3 linked regions of the Nothobranchius furzeri genome follow. The protein of the gene in region 3 purifies or fractionates together with the protein of the main gene of each other region. This does not show direct contact. Links are inferred from orthologs where the notes say so. Each region holds a gene or a part of one and is shown on either strand. Other genes may lie near its edges.

The links.
Region 1: the proteins of gars1 (region 3) and iars1 fractionate together in Homo sapiens (co-fractionation; 3 studies listed by BioGRID). This does not show direct contact. The link is inferred for Nothobranchius furzeri from reciprocal best matches to the Homo sapiens genes GARS1 and IARS1.
Region 2: the proteins of gars1 (region 3) and glutamine--fructose-6-phosphate aminotransferase [isomerizing] 1 fractionate together in Homo sapiens (co-fractionation; 3 studies listed by BioGRID, with this or other methods). This does not show direct contact. The link is inferred for Nothobranchius furzeri from reciprocal best matches to the Homo sapiens genes GARS1 and GFPT1.

What each region holds. Positions count from the first base shown.
Region 1 is NC_091743.1:62,688,391-62,691,997, reverse strand, and holds part of iars1 (isoleucine--tRNA ligase, cytoplasmic), read right to left. Parts: intron 2,500-3,607; coding exon 2,323-2,499; intron 2,059-2,322; coding exon 1,938-2,058; intron 1,803-1,937; coding exon 1,677-1,802; intron 1,515-1,676; coding exon 1,365-1,514; intron 252-1,364; coding exon 99-251; intron 1-98. UniProt on the Homo sapiens protein: Catalyzes the specific attachment of an amino acid to its cognate tRNA in a 2 step reaction: the amino acid (AA) is first activated by ATP to form AA-AMP and then transferred to the acceptor end of the tRNA.
Region 2 is NC_091757.1:40,177,765-40,182,051, forward strand, and holds the start of glutamine--fructose-6-phosphate aminotransferase [isomerizing] 1, read left to right. Parts: upstream 1-1,430; 5' UTR 1,431-1,517; coding exon 1,518-1,524; intron 1,525-3,142; coding exon 3,143-3,250; intron 3,251-3,528; coding exon 3,529-3,636; intron 3,637-3,721; coding exon 3,722-3,847; intron 3,848-3,949; coding exon 3,950-4,008; intron 4,009-4,093; coding exon 4,094-4,228; intron 4,229-4,287.
Region 3 is NC_091747.1:50,231,878-50,236,156, reverse strand, and holds the start of gars1 (glycine--tRNA ligase), read right to left. Parts: upstream 2,887-4,279; 5' UTR 2,703-2,886; coding exon 2,451-2,702; intron 2,079-2,450; coding exon 1,977-2,078; intron 1,704-1,976; coding exon 1,601-1,703; intron 1,529-1,600; coding exon 1,387-1,528; intron 1,271-1,386; exon of another isoform or gene 1,135-1,270; intron 1,061-1,134; coding exon 972-1,060; intron 573-971; coding exon 496-572; intron 423-495; coding exon 277-422; intron 200-276; coding exon 50-199; intron 1-49. UniProt on the Homo sapiens protein: Catalyzes the ATP-dependent ligation of glycine to the 3'-end of its cognate tRNA, via the formation of an aminoacyl-adenylate intermediate (Gly-AMP).

The sequences.
Region 1 (3,607 bases), on a different chromosome or scaffold from region 3:
TTTTCACTATATCCTTACATACTGCACCTTTAATTATTTCATGCCATCCATTAGAGTTCAGAGATAATAACCCACTTATTTTAGTTAAAATGTGTTACCATGACTTTGGTCCTGGTCTAGGTAGAGTTTAAGCCGCCTACTGCGAAGGCCGAAAACTTTAGCTGTCTCAGAGAGCAGACCAGAGTAATCAAGCGCATTCTGACCCATCGGGTTCACCAACAGGAGGGTACCAACATCTCCAGCCTGGCACTCTGAAGAAAACACAGGATATTAGAAATTTCCAAAATAGGATTTGATCTGAATGAAGAATTTTACTAATCCTAAACTTAAAGGTCAACTTTACTCATATTTTCAATACTTCTGCAGTGGTCTTTAGTAGGAATGAATGCCTCTTAAGTCATACTGTGTGTGTGTGGGGGGGGGGGGGGGGGGGGGGCACACTCTGGTGCACCTGTCTGAGGAGGTAGAAGGCAGCTGGAGCCAGAAGTAGCTTCAGATGATAAGATTTGGAGTCTTATTTCCCGATATTTGGACATCTCACCTCTGATTGGCTAACAGCAATGCAACTCTACCACAGACTCGGTTTGCTGTGCAACGTTAATGTTTTATCTTCATAAATCGCACAAGTCTGCAGGAGTTCTGCTGAGTGGTGGAGTTGCTAATGCTAACAGTTAGCTTCTACTAGTCGAGACATTCTCTGCTGCTTCATGGACGTTAAACCAACAACAGCCTTTCATGTCACGAGTCAAGATGGGTGAGTCCATGAATGTTAAGTGACAGTGCGACGTAGATCTGTCAGGTTTTTCTGAACTGAGCATTTTTCTGTCTATTTTCTATGAGAAGCTAATGCAGGAGATAGGTGCAGGAGACTATTTTTATGTTTAGCCTGCATGAAAAACTTTATAATCAGAAATAACTAATACGTGTTTTTTTTCCCGTAAAGTTGGCCTTTAATCTCTGGGAAAAGGAGTGAGTAAAAGCAAAACCTGCGCAGGAATTAAAGTTGTCAACAATTTCTCCCACAGAATTCAAAAGCCTTCTTCAAGGGATAAAATAAAACATTGCCCCCATCTCAAATATGAAAAACTGACTTCCAGAAAATGAGAATGTATATTAGACTTGGACTCAGACTGAGAACAATCAAAAACAAATGATCAGCTGTTAAGCAGCGAAAGCCTTAAAGTAGAATAAAACCTCTGCAACAGTTCCTGATTATAATAACACTTTTAGGAAACATTGATTGTAATGACTAAACACATGTCCACCCTTCCTCTTGAATAAGGGGAACGTGTGTGTGTGTGTGTGTGTGTGTGTGTGTGTGTGTGTGTGTGTGTGTGTGTGTGTGTGTTGTAGGTGTTTCTCACCAGCTGGCTGTGCGTCGCACAGCAACAGGTTAACATAGGGGCACAGTAGGGTGTCAGCAGCAGGGGGGGCAGAGCCCAGAGAGGAGGGGTCTGACACCACCAACAAAGTTTTGCCACTCAGGGCTTGCAGATCAGTTTCGTTGGACAATTCTGTAAAAAACACACAAAAGAACATGTGAGCAAATAGTTTTTAGAAAAATAGAAGAAAACAAAATTCCGTTTTTGTTCATTTATAATACTGGTCAGTTTTAACATGCCATGGTGGGAGATAATTAGCACACACAATTTATTGTTTTAGAAAACATCACATACCGGTTCCACCACTGAAGAATCTCAGTGAGGTGTTGTTGGTTCCAAAAATGTTCCTGCAGGCATTCTTCAGTTTGTTCCAGTCAAGTCTGTTATCCCCTCTGGGGTTCTCCAACAGCACAACACCCTCTGAGGAGAAAATACACACAAATACAAACAGGATCATCAAAGATACATATTTTGCTTGCATAGCACCAAATTTGTGCTATGTGTGTGTGCAGTCACAGACAACCAAAACATGGTTACAGTAAGACTTTGTGTTACCTTGTTCTTTGTGGTTGACCTTCACTCTGAGGTTGACATATGTGCAGGCTGGTCCGTTTAGTATTGCTCGAGGAGATGAAGATCCTTTTACTATGGTCAACTCCAAGTCTGAGCCCTTCAACTACAAATACAACCAAACAAAAGCTCAAATGAATAAAAACATAGTCTGAAAAGAAGGAATGAGGTGACGAGTACTACATTTATAGATGCAAGGTATTAATACCAATATGAGAGTAATCATGTGTTAAGTGTGACTCATACTTGTGATTTCATACATTGATCGGCATCAGCATGTTTCATGAAGAAACAACAGCCTGCATGTTCGTGAGTATGAATCACACCATGACAAACAAATCCCACTTCTCCTGAAGGCATCGTCTCATACCGGAGTCGTTTCCTCTATGATGACGCTGGCAGTATCGGGAACAGGGAAGAGCAGAAGTGGAGCCTTGGTGGTGGCCAGAATAAAGTCGGTGTGAGCCTGGATCACAGATGCCAAGTATTCCCCCTCTGGTCGGCAGCGGTAGTACACGGTTATTTCATCAGACGGCACCAAATGTCCCTGATAATCAAAAAGATATTTTTTATGCACGAAAATAAAGAAAGAAAACTAAAAAGATTCTGTTCATTCCTGTGATGCTGTGAGACAAAGTAACGGTACAACAAAATGCTGCATAACTAATATTTCAAGCCATGGTATCAAACTCCAGAAGATGCAACAAATCACTTTTTAGCAACAAGTTGCTTTTTGACCATTGTTTTCATTAGTAATAGAAAAAGGGAGTACAGCTCCCAAAAAGAAGAAAAGACAAGGGTAAAAAAAAAAAACTACTGGAAAGACTAACCAGAAAAGGCATTTTGGTAATAAAACGCAGAAAACAGACAGTATAGTAACAAATAAAGACAGAAGAGGATGATGGGATGTTTAGCTGGAACAAAGCCCATCTATTTTGGCATCGCTTGCTGCTTGCTCCCACTAACCTTGCTGCATCCAAACCCATTGATCTCATTCTAATCTACAGTGTGCAGCTGTGCACATCTGTGCATGGCCATACACACACTCCCTCTGCAGTGCACACACACCTCAAGGGCAGAAGAATGGGAAAAGCTAGATATAAAAGAGCAGTCAATCAATGGAGGAAAGTTTTATAGGCTTCTACGAGTCAAGGTCCTCGTTCTGATGGTGTGTGTATATGTGTGTGTCCAGCTCTTAGTCTATAGAAAAGTTTAATTAATATTTCTCAAGTGGCTGAGGGAGGACTTTGGCCAGTTTTTAGATTTATCGCATCACAATCGACAAGCTACTATTGAACATGTGCACAAGTTTTTTTTTTTTTAAATCATTTCCCATCCACGGGGTGGAAAATTCGTCATAGATCTCAGTTTGAAATAACTGGAGGAATTTAGCCTGGCTGGACGCCAGAGCACAGCGCTGCTATAGGGGGACGGAAACAAACTGTTTGTTTCTTGTGAAAACAAGAGGCTGCTGGCTAATCCGTCTTTGCTCCCCAGTTTCCTTCAAAGCTCCAACATCAGAATCTGAAAGGGGCCAGACTGTAATTAAGCTTCTATTAAGTCTGCCTTATGATGGAGAAACCTCTAACTGTGACGCTGTAGTGGAAAGATTTCAAAACCGCCCTGACAATAGAATAAGACATAATAAGGAAGGG
Region 2 (4,287 bases), on a different chromosome or scaffold from region 3:
AAGATAAGACTGAGATCCTCATCTGTGCCCCAGACAAGCTGGTTCCCAAAGTCAGACTCTCTTGGTCAGCGTGCTTCCCACACCAAACCTTCTGTCAGGAATCTTGGCGTGACCTTTGACCCAGCTCTCACCTTGCATTCTCATGTCAGTTCTCTTGTTTGCTCTTCCTTCTTCCATCTCAGGATCATTGCTAAGCTGAGCCCCATTCTGTCCCGCTCTGAACTTGAGACAGTTATCCACTCCTTCATCTCCTCATGCTTAGACTACTGTAACTCTCTTTTCACGTGTCTGAGCAGAACCTCCCTGAACCGTCTACAGGTGGTTCAGAATGCCTGTGCTCGGCTTCTGACCAAGTCCTCCAAATACACCCACATCACCCCGCTTCTCCTCCAGCTTCACTGGCTGCCAGTCAACTTCAGGGTTCATTTCAAGATCCTGGTTCTGGTCTATAGGACCTTACATAGACAAGCACCATCTTACATTGGTGATCTTCTTAGTCCCTACACCCCCAGCAGGTCCCTGAGGTCCAGTGACCAAAGCCTACTGGTTGTGCAGTGCACCAGGCTAAAGACCAAAGGTGACAGATCATTTGCTGCTGTGGCCCCCAGACTCTGGAACTCTCTCCCCCTGAGCCTGAGATCAGTGGACTCAGTGGTCTCCTTTAAAAAGCAGCTGAAGACTCACTTGTTCAAGCTGGCTTTTGGATGACCTTTTTCACCCCTCTCTCTTTATTCTGCTCTCCCCACCTATTCCACCTTCCTCAGGATCCACTGACTTCCCTCTTTCCTATTCACTCTCTCTTTCTTAACATTTTTTCTCTTAAATCCCAATTGCCTATTTTTGCTCATTTTAAATATATATTTTTAAACATTTTCTAAATGCTTTTTTATATTTTTACTTTTTTTTTGTTTTTGTGAAGTGCCTCATGATTTTTATCTTGAGAGGCGCTATAGAAACGATATTTTCTTCTTCTTACACTCTTATTGACACACACACACACACACACACACACACACACACACACACACACACACACACACGTATTTTTTCTCTTCCTTCCCTCAGACAAAGTTAAGCCCCTCTTTTGCCACCCTGTCAAAATTTTCTCTATGCCCGCCACTGGCTGGAGGACCTGAATACTGTCATACCTAAAAAAAATAAATAAATAAAAATCCGTGGCCTTTGTTAAAATGTGAATTTGTACGTTTCCCTGACGTAATGCCTCATTTGTTTACAATTATTCCACATTTGACGGCTGCCTGCCTGCTGCTCCTTAAGGTGCGCTGGATGGCATCAGCAGGATATACCGAGTTTTCTGCCCTCCTTTCGCATCCTGATGCCACGTCAGGAGAGCATACGCAGGAAGATTAAACTTGACTGACATCCCGATCGACCAATCAGGTGGCGCCATTGGAGATGGTGGTTGGCTCTACACAGAAGGGGGCGAGGTTTACTGACAGGCATCCCCGGATACCACCAGAAACTGAGTAACTGTATCTGCTACTCAAGCTGTAGACATGTGTGGTGAGTAGTTGTTCTGCGCGCTTTTGTTATTTAGTCAAAATGTATATTACTTATTAGCCATGATGAACAGTAGACAGAACTGTAACAGCGTGTGTAGACTACAGTTTCAGTGTGACGGTTGTTAGCTAGGGTGGCTAAGCAGAAACTAGCAAACACGAGCTGATGTTTCTGATGCTGCTACTCAGCTAAATATAAAACACTCACTGTTTGATTTTCTGCTACTCCCTCTGGTTGTGAGTATTGGGTTTTAGTTGTGACATGTCATGCTGACCGAAACTAAAGTTAATACAGCGTTCTTCCTCGCAAGGGCTAAACGCCCACCTCTCGTTACTTTCTGTTAGTTAAGTATTAATTTAGATTTTTGGGTTTCTTTTGAAACAAATGTGTTTACGTGTCTTAATATAAAATAAATGTAACCGAAAGTCACTAAAGTCAGATAGAAAAATACCCTTAAATACGCCTTTATTTCTAATACGTGTGCCTTGCTCATGGTCGCTGGGTAGATGCTGTGCTTTGTGCTCGTCAGACCGATAGCTGATGTCAGTCTACCATCATTGTCATTGCTATCTGACCAGACCCGATAAACCAGTCTGTTCTCATATATATTAAACTGTTTGTTCCTCGCTGACGTTGATCTTCTTTGTCCTCATCTCTTCATCAGAAGTTGTAATTTATTTCCCCCTCTCTCTTCAGCGGTTTCTCGGTCACCCCCACCTCTCCCACTTGCTGTTCTGAATGAAAGCCCTGTTTCATTCAGTCAGCTGGTTTTACATTTGCATTTCTCCAACAGAGTAGATCCAAGTAATAAACTTGGTTCCTCCTTTGACTAGAGTGGCATAGCTTGCAGTGTTTGCACTGGATGTCACAAAGTGCAGATTAAGGCAGCTGGAAGTGAAATGCTCAAATCATGATTTGTGACAGTATTTGGAGCTGTTACTGTAGCATAATTGTGTTTAAGTTTATAGGAATTATCCAGAAAATGTGATTGCATATTAAAAAGTGTGTATGTGAAGCTAAAATGTGTCCGATGGGTTTCTGTCTTAAGACCATTGAACCGCCTTAAATGCTCTGTTCTGTTTCAAAGTTCTTCCTAACAAGACATAACAATGTCTGCAATTGTGGTTATCCTCCTTGTAAGACCGGTATCTACAAACGCAGCTCTTCAGCTTTGCGACACAGAACCCCAAACAACTCGAGCTGGCGTCATCAAATAACTTTAGTTTCTCATGTCAACAAAAGGATTCCTTCTAATTGTATTCCTAGTTTTTGTCTCTGCCTTAATATATTCGGCGTTGCAGTTGGGTTAAACTAGTTTACAATTGAGTGAGCTGTAAGAACAGTGTTTAAAAATTATTATTACTGCCACATAATGTGGATCTTCTAGATGAAAAACAAAACAAGTAGAACCAGAGTAAAGAAAGTAAAGAGTTAATGAACTTTGTCTCTTAAGCTGTCCTCTAGACTTTGTTTACTGCAATGAGATTCTAGGTGTTTATTTATGATTTTAAGTTATTTTATTTATTTAGAATGGTTTGGGTAGTCATTTTTGTTCTCTCATTTCTCTAGAATGATATTAAATGACAGAAATAAAGTTTTGGGGACTTTCGCCTTTTTTCAGGAATCTTTGCCTATCTCAACTACCATGTTCCAAGGACTCGTCGTGAAATCCTTGAGATCCTCCTCAAAGGGCTTCGACGTCTGGAATACAGAGGCTACGACTCAGCTGGTGAGAAAGAATCAAGAGGGGTCTTCTCCCTGTTTTAATTTCTCTTTTATCAGGTTTTTGTACATTTTGTATTCTTGTGAGATATTTATTTGGACGCTATCGCTCAGGAACCTGTGATAGGACTTTTATGAGCTAAGATGTTTGGAATAGTTGTAGTTGAGATGATAAATCAGGTCATAATTTCATTTGATATGTCAGCATCAAGAAACTAAGCTCTACGGTTGACCCTAGTCGACTGTTTAGTATATATTCACACATTAATTAAAAAAAATGTCCAGGTGTGGGAATCGATGGAGGCAATGGCAAGGATTGGGAAGCAAATGCCAAGTCCATCCAACTGATCAAGCAGCGTGGAAAAGTGAAGGTCCTCGATGAGGAGATCAATAGTAAGATGAAGGTTACACTTACACTTTGTTTCTGAAAGTCCCGGGAATCTAATTGTGGTTCGTTTTGTGTTTGTGCGACCTTCAGAGCAGCAGGATATTGACCTGGATGTGGAATTTGATGTTCACCTGGGCATCGCTCACACTCGCTGGGCGACCCATGGTGAGCCCAGCCCCGTCAACAGTCACCCACACAGATCCGACAAGAACAACGGTCAGCTGTGTTAAAGATGCCGAACCAAACAATTGTTTGTTTGAACTGTGCTCAGATGTCAGAGGTAACTGAAGGTTAAATGTTCTCTTTCTAAACTTACAGAATTCATTGTGATTCACAATGGAATCATCACCAACTACAAGGACCTGCGGAAATTCTTGGTGGGTAAAAGTTTTTCTTCTATAGTTGTGTATGTAATTTAATCACTTATGGTAGTTGAGTCTCACCCACTTACCATCTCCTCAGGAGAGCAAAGGCTATGAGTTTGAGTCTGAGACGGATACAGAGACCATTGCCAAGCTGGTGAAGTACATGTATGACAACCGGGAGAATGATGACATCAACTTTGCCACATTAGTTGAGCGTGTTACTCAGCAGCTGGTAAGAACCTTTTGACCTTTGTTTGTGTGTTACTGACGAATAACAACTGAACACATGTT
Region 3 (4,279 bases):
AGAGTTTTGGTTGTTTAACAAGCAGATGAGAGCCAGAGGATTAGCTCACCTGACTCTGATGAGACCAGAGCGAGGGGAGATTTCGTTCCTGAAGGAGTTTCCTATCTGAGCAGCAGCGAAGGGGAGTTTGCCCTGGTTGAACTCCAGGAGACGCTTAAAGTTTAGGAAGATTCCCTGAGCGGTTTCAGGCCTCAGATAGCTGCAAATTCAGACCAGAACCTGCGGTAAAAATCTGCACACGTCACTAAAGCTCCTCCGGTTTGAGCTGGATCATACCCGGGCATGTTTCCTCCCGGGCCGATGGACGTCTGGAACATCAGGTTGAAGGCGATGGGGGGAGAGAGCTCGTTTCCTGTAGTCGGCGACTTCACGTTGTATTTGACAAAGAGGTCCGTCAGCTCTTGTTGGGAGTAGTTATCCAACTGGAAAACAACGAAATATAATGAGAAGGGCGATGACGAATCATATCAGTAGAGATTCTGAGTGAAGACCAACCTGAGTGATGACGTTCTCCATCTCTGACTTCCTGTCTGCGGCGCACTTCTTATCGGACATCAGCTTCTGGAGATGAGCTGCAGCAGAAACCACTCACCGTTATCCCGTTTGGTAAAAACTCTAAAGGACTGAACTGAAGGAATTTTTAGTCTAAATTCAAATCCTCCTTCCAAGATTTCTTCCTAATAAGTTAGTTCTTGTACTAAATTAGACGAATCTGGAATTTTTAAAAAGCTTTCTGAAGTTGTTAAGATCAAAATGTGAAACGTTTTTCGTTCCGATTGTTAATTAAATCATCTTTTGAAGCGACGCAACAGGAACTGACATGTCTCAACATCCAAACAGGCTTTTAGCGCGGGTGGAGTCTCTGTGATCCAGACTGATGTTTCTCATTCTCCCCGAGGCGCATCGCCACGACAGAGTCCCATGCAGATTTAAACCTTTCAAAAAAAAAGAAGAAAGAGACAAATTCTCACCTTTGAGGAGGTGGTCGGCTCTGAAGCATTCACCGTTCTTCACGTCTTTCACCATGTAGTCTGCAAACTTCTCTACGTGTCCTGAAGTCCTGGAGGAGCCAAAGGTGCAACAATCAATCAGCATCAACGAGAGAACAAACAAGGTGATTCTTATGTCTTTAACAAGTGTATCTGCGACCGGGCTATGGAGCGCTGCTATAGAGGCAGCTTCCATGCATAAAATCACAGAAATCAATGTTTGCCTGTTATTAAAAACCTAAAGTTCAGCACTTCAGAGCCGACTCCAGGAACCACCAGGCACTTCCTCCAGCCGTAATGTGGCCTAGCATTCCACAAAAGAATGCCAATTCTCTTTAATTTCCATGTGAGTAATAACTATTCCAACTAAACCACTTTTCTTTAACCAGTCGCCTACTTGAGGACGGATTCAGGGGTCAGCATGGTGCAGTCGATCTCCAGGATTTGCTCCTCCTGGATGAAGTGCTGCCTCCAAGCCTGCAGGATGTTGTTCTTCAGGGCACAGCCAACAGGACCAAAGTCGTACAGGCCACTCACACCTGAGGAGAGTTAATGAATGCATCAGGTGTCAGTTTAATCTCGATTTCTATTATTAGCCACCAGAGCATTACCTCCATAGATAGCAAAGGCCTGGTCATAGAAGAACCGCCTCTTGAGGGTATCCTCCATCTTGGGTCTGTCAACAATGTCATCTTTGGGTTGCAATGCCAGTTCCTGCAAATTGTGCAACACAGAGGTAAAATTATATATGACTGTCCCAAGAATACTAGCCAGGAGGCTGCAGACTCTCAGCTTCACCACTACTTAAGTTGATTTGTTTTGATGTGTGCAACCAATGACAAGCTCTTTAAATACTAATATACATGTCAGTTTGTGATATTACCATTTGATCAGTGCCAAATTTGTGTCATCTCTGCATGGATGAACGTGTGGGACTGGCATCCCTCTCAGATGAAATCATAACAAATGAAACTATGAATTTCTTACCTTGGCTTCTAGAGCTTTCTTCCTTGCTTTCAGTTCAGCTACAGCTTTAGTCACATCCACTTCAGGAGCTCCTTCCTGTTTCATTTGGCGCACCAGCTCTCCCTAAACCAGAAGAAAACATTGCAAACCACTGCGCCAAAAATAACTGAGCCAACGCCTGGACGTGTTTGGGAAGCAAAAAGATTGATGATTGTTTTTGGTAGCAGCACAAAATAAACCTCCTTTAAAAAAAATATAAAACAACCCCACCCTGCTATCATCAGCCTGCAGAGCAGCTCTGAAACGTGGCACATGAATATCACCTAGCGGTTAGCTCCTGTAGCGACTCCAGTCTGCTCTCATTCATTGACAGGCTGGGGTTAGCCGGCTAGGCTAGCCGGTTAGCTTAACCACTTCAGACCGTTTCTCACTTAAGTTACCTCACTACTTTAAAAAAAATATACTAGTTTTAAAGTGGCAGAAAGCAAATATTACCTGTTCTTTCACAGCAAGCCTCAAAGGGGCGAGAATCTCCTCAATGTTTCCGTCCATGGTCTTTTCTTCCGCAAGCTGCAGCCACAGGCTCTTTTTCTTTTTCTTAAGCAGGCAGACCGAGGTGGAAAAGGGCCTTCTACCGAGCGGCTGGCGATGGGACAGCCGACACAAACGGACCGTTACCGGCCGACAGGAGAAGGAAATCTCAGCGCTGGTCCTCAGCAGTGATAACGCTGCGCTGCGGAGAAGCATGGACCGCTGTAACGCGACCTCCAGAGAATGATGAAATCTCACGAAACAAGTAAATACTGCCGTCGTTCCGGCTCAGCACTTTCGTTACGTCTCACGCGTTCTTCACGTGTAATTGGCTGATTCGCTAAAAATAAAATTAAAATAAATAAAAATTAAATAAATGTTTTTGGAGACTTTACTCAATGCAGGGATTCTTAAAAGACGAAATATTTTCTTTTAAAGAGAAAATTTAATCACCTATGAAAAAAGTCTCAAAAAATCACCAACTCTCTTTTGAACTCAAATATGAAATAAATAATTCAAATGTTCCACATAAATGCCAAATTCTTGATATTGTTGAATAAATTTCAAAATAATTCACCAAAATTTCAACTGTAAAAATGTGACCTTTCAAAAGTTTTATTTTTCCCCCACAAGAGGGCACTAGAAATGCCCCAAAGTAAATTATACATTTACTTTATGCAAAAAGTGAGTCAAAGGGCATTTTCTTCCCCTTTAATTTGAAGCTGGGAAACAGAGAACTAGTCACTTTTTAAAATATAACAAACAATAAATTGTATGGTACAGTTCGTTGTATTGGCTGGCTTCATGATAAAACCACTGGTCCCTCCAACCACCACCACCAAGTGTCTTGCCCAAGGACACAACAGCAGCTGTCTGAATCAATCATACACCCTTCTAGTTGCTGGACAACCTGCTGACAACCATGCATGGTCTCACAGCTTGCAGAAGAAGATTCAGCATGCAGAGATTTTTTAAATCCCGGTTATAGTCATGCCTTCATGAAACATTTAATCCGATGGATGCACAACAGACCTACTTGAGATACATACAGATGAGATACATCATCTGTGTCCTATCAGACCTGACATCCAGACCATATTCATTTTAAATATTCATGAATGGAGATGTGCAGCTGTAGGGCATCACAGCTCAGAGATTCCCACAGATTCAGAGAGATGTCAACTGCGTTTGAACTCCATGATCAAAGAAATATAGCTTCAAGGGCTGCCATCTTTAAAAAAAAGTCTTGGAGTGAGATTTTCTTTCATTTTACTTTGTGTGTGTGTGTGTGTGTGTGTGTGTGTGTGTGTGTGTGTGTGTGTGTGTGTGTGTGTGTGTGTGTGTGTGTGTGTGTGTGTGTGTGTGTGTGTGTGACTGTTAGGTTTGGCAAAATGACACACTAGTCTGGCAGTGAGAAAAAACAATGTGATATTAAGGCAGAATTAATTTTTCAGAGGAAAAATGGATGCTGCAATCACTGTTTGCTACAATGTAAATTAAATTATGGGCAAAGCAAATAAAAGAAAATGATAAAATGTGGAAAAAAAAGCTATACATTTTCATGTGCTTAAATTGTAAATGTATTTTCACAGGAGAAGAGTCACGTCACATTGTCTTTTACAATAGTACTGTTGGCCAATCCTCACAGGAAATATATTCTGCTAATATTCTTTTCTGTCACTGAACACATTTGCTGTATTTGTTTTTTCTTTGTAGAGTTTATACATTTGTTGTGAAATATGAACGCATCAATGCTGTCCATCAGTCAAATCAAATGGCAGATTAAATATGTA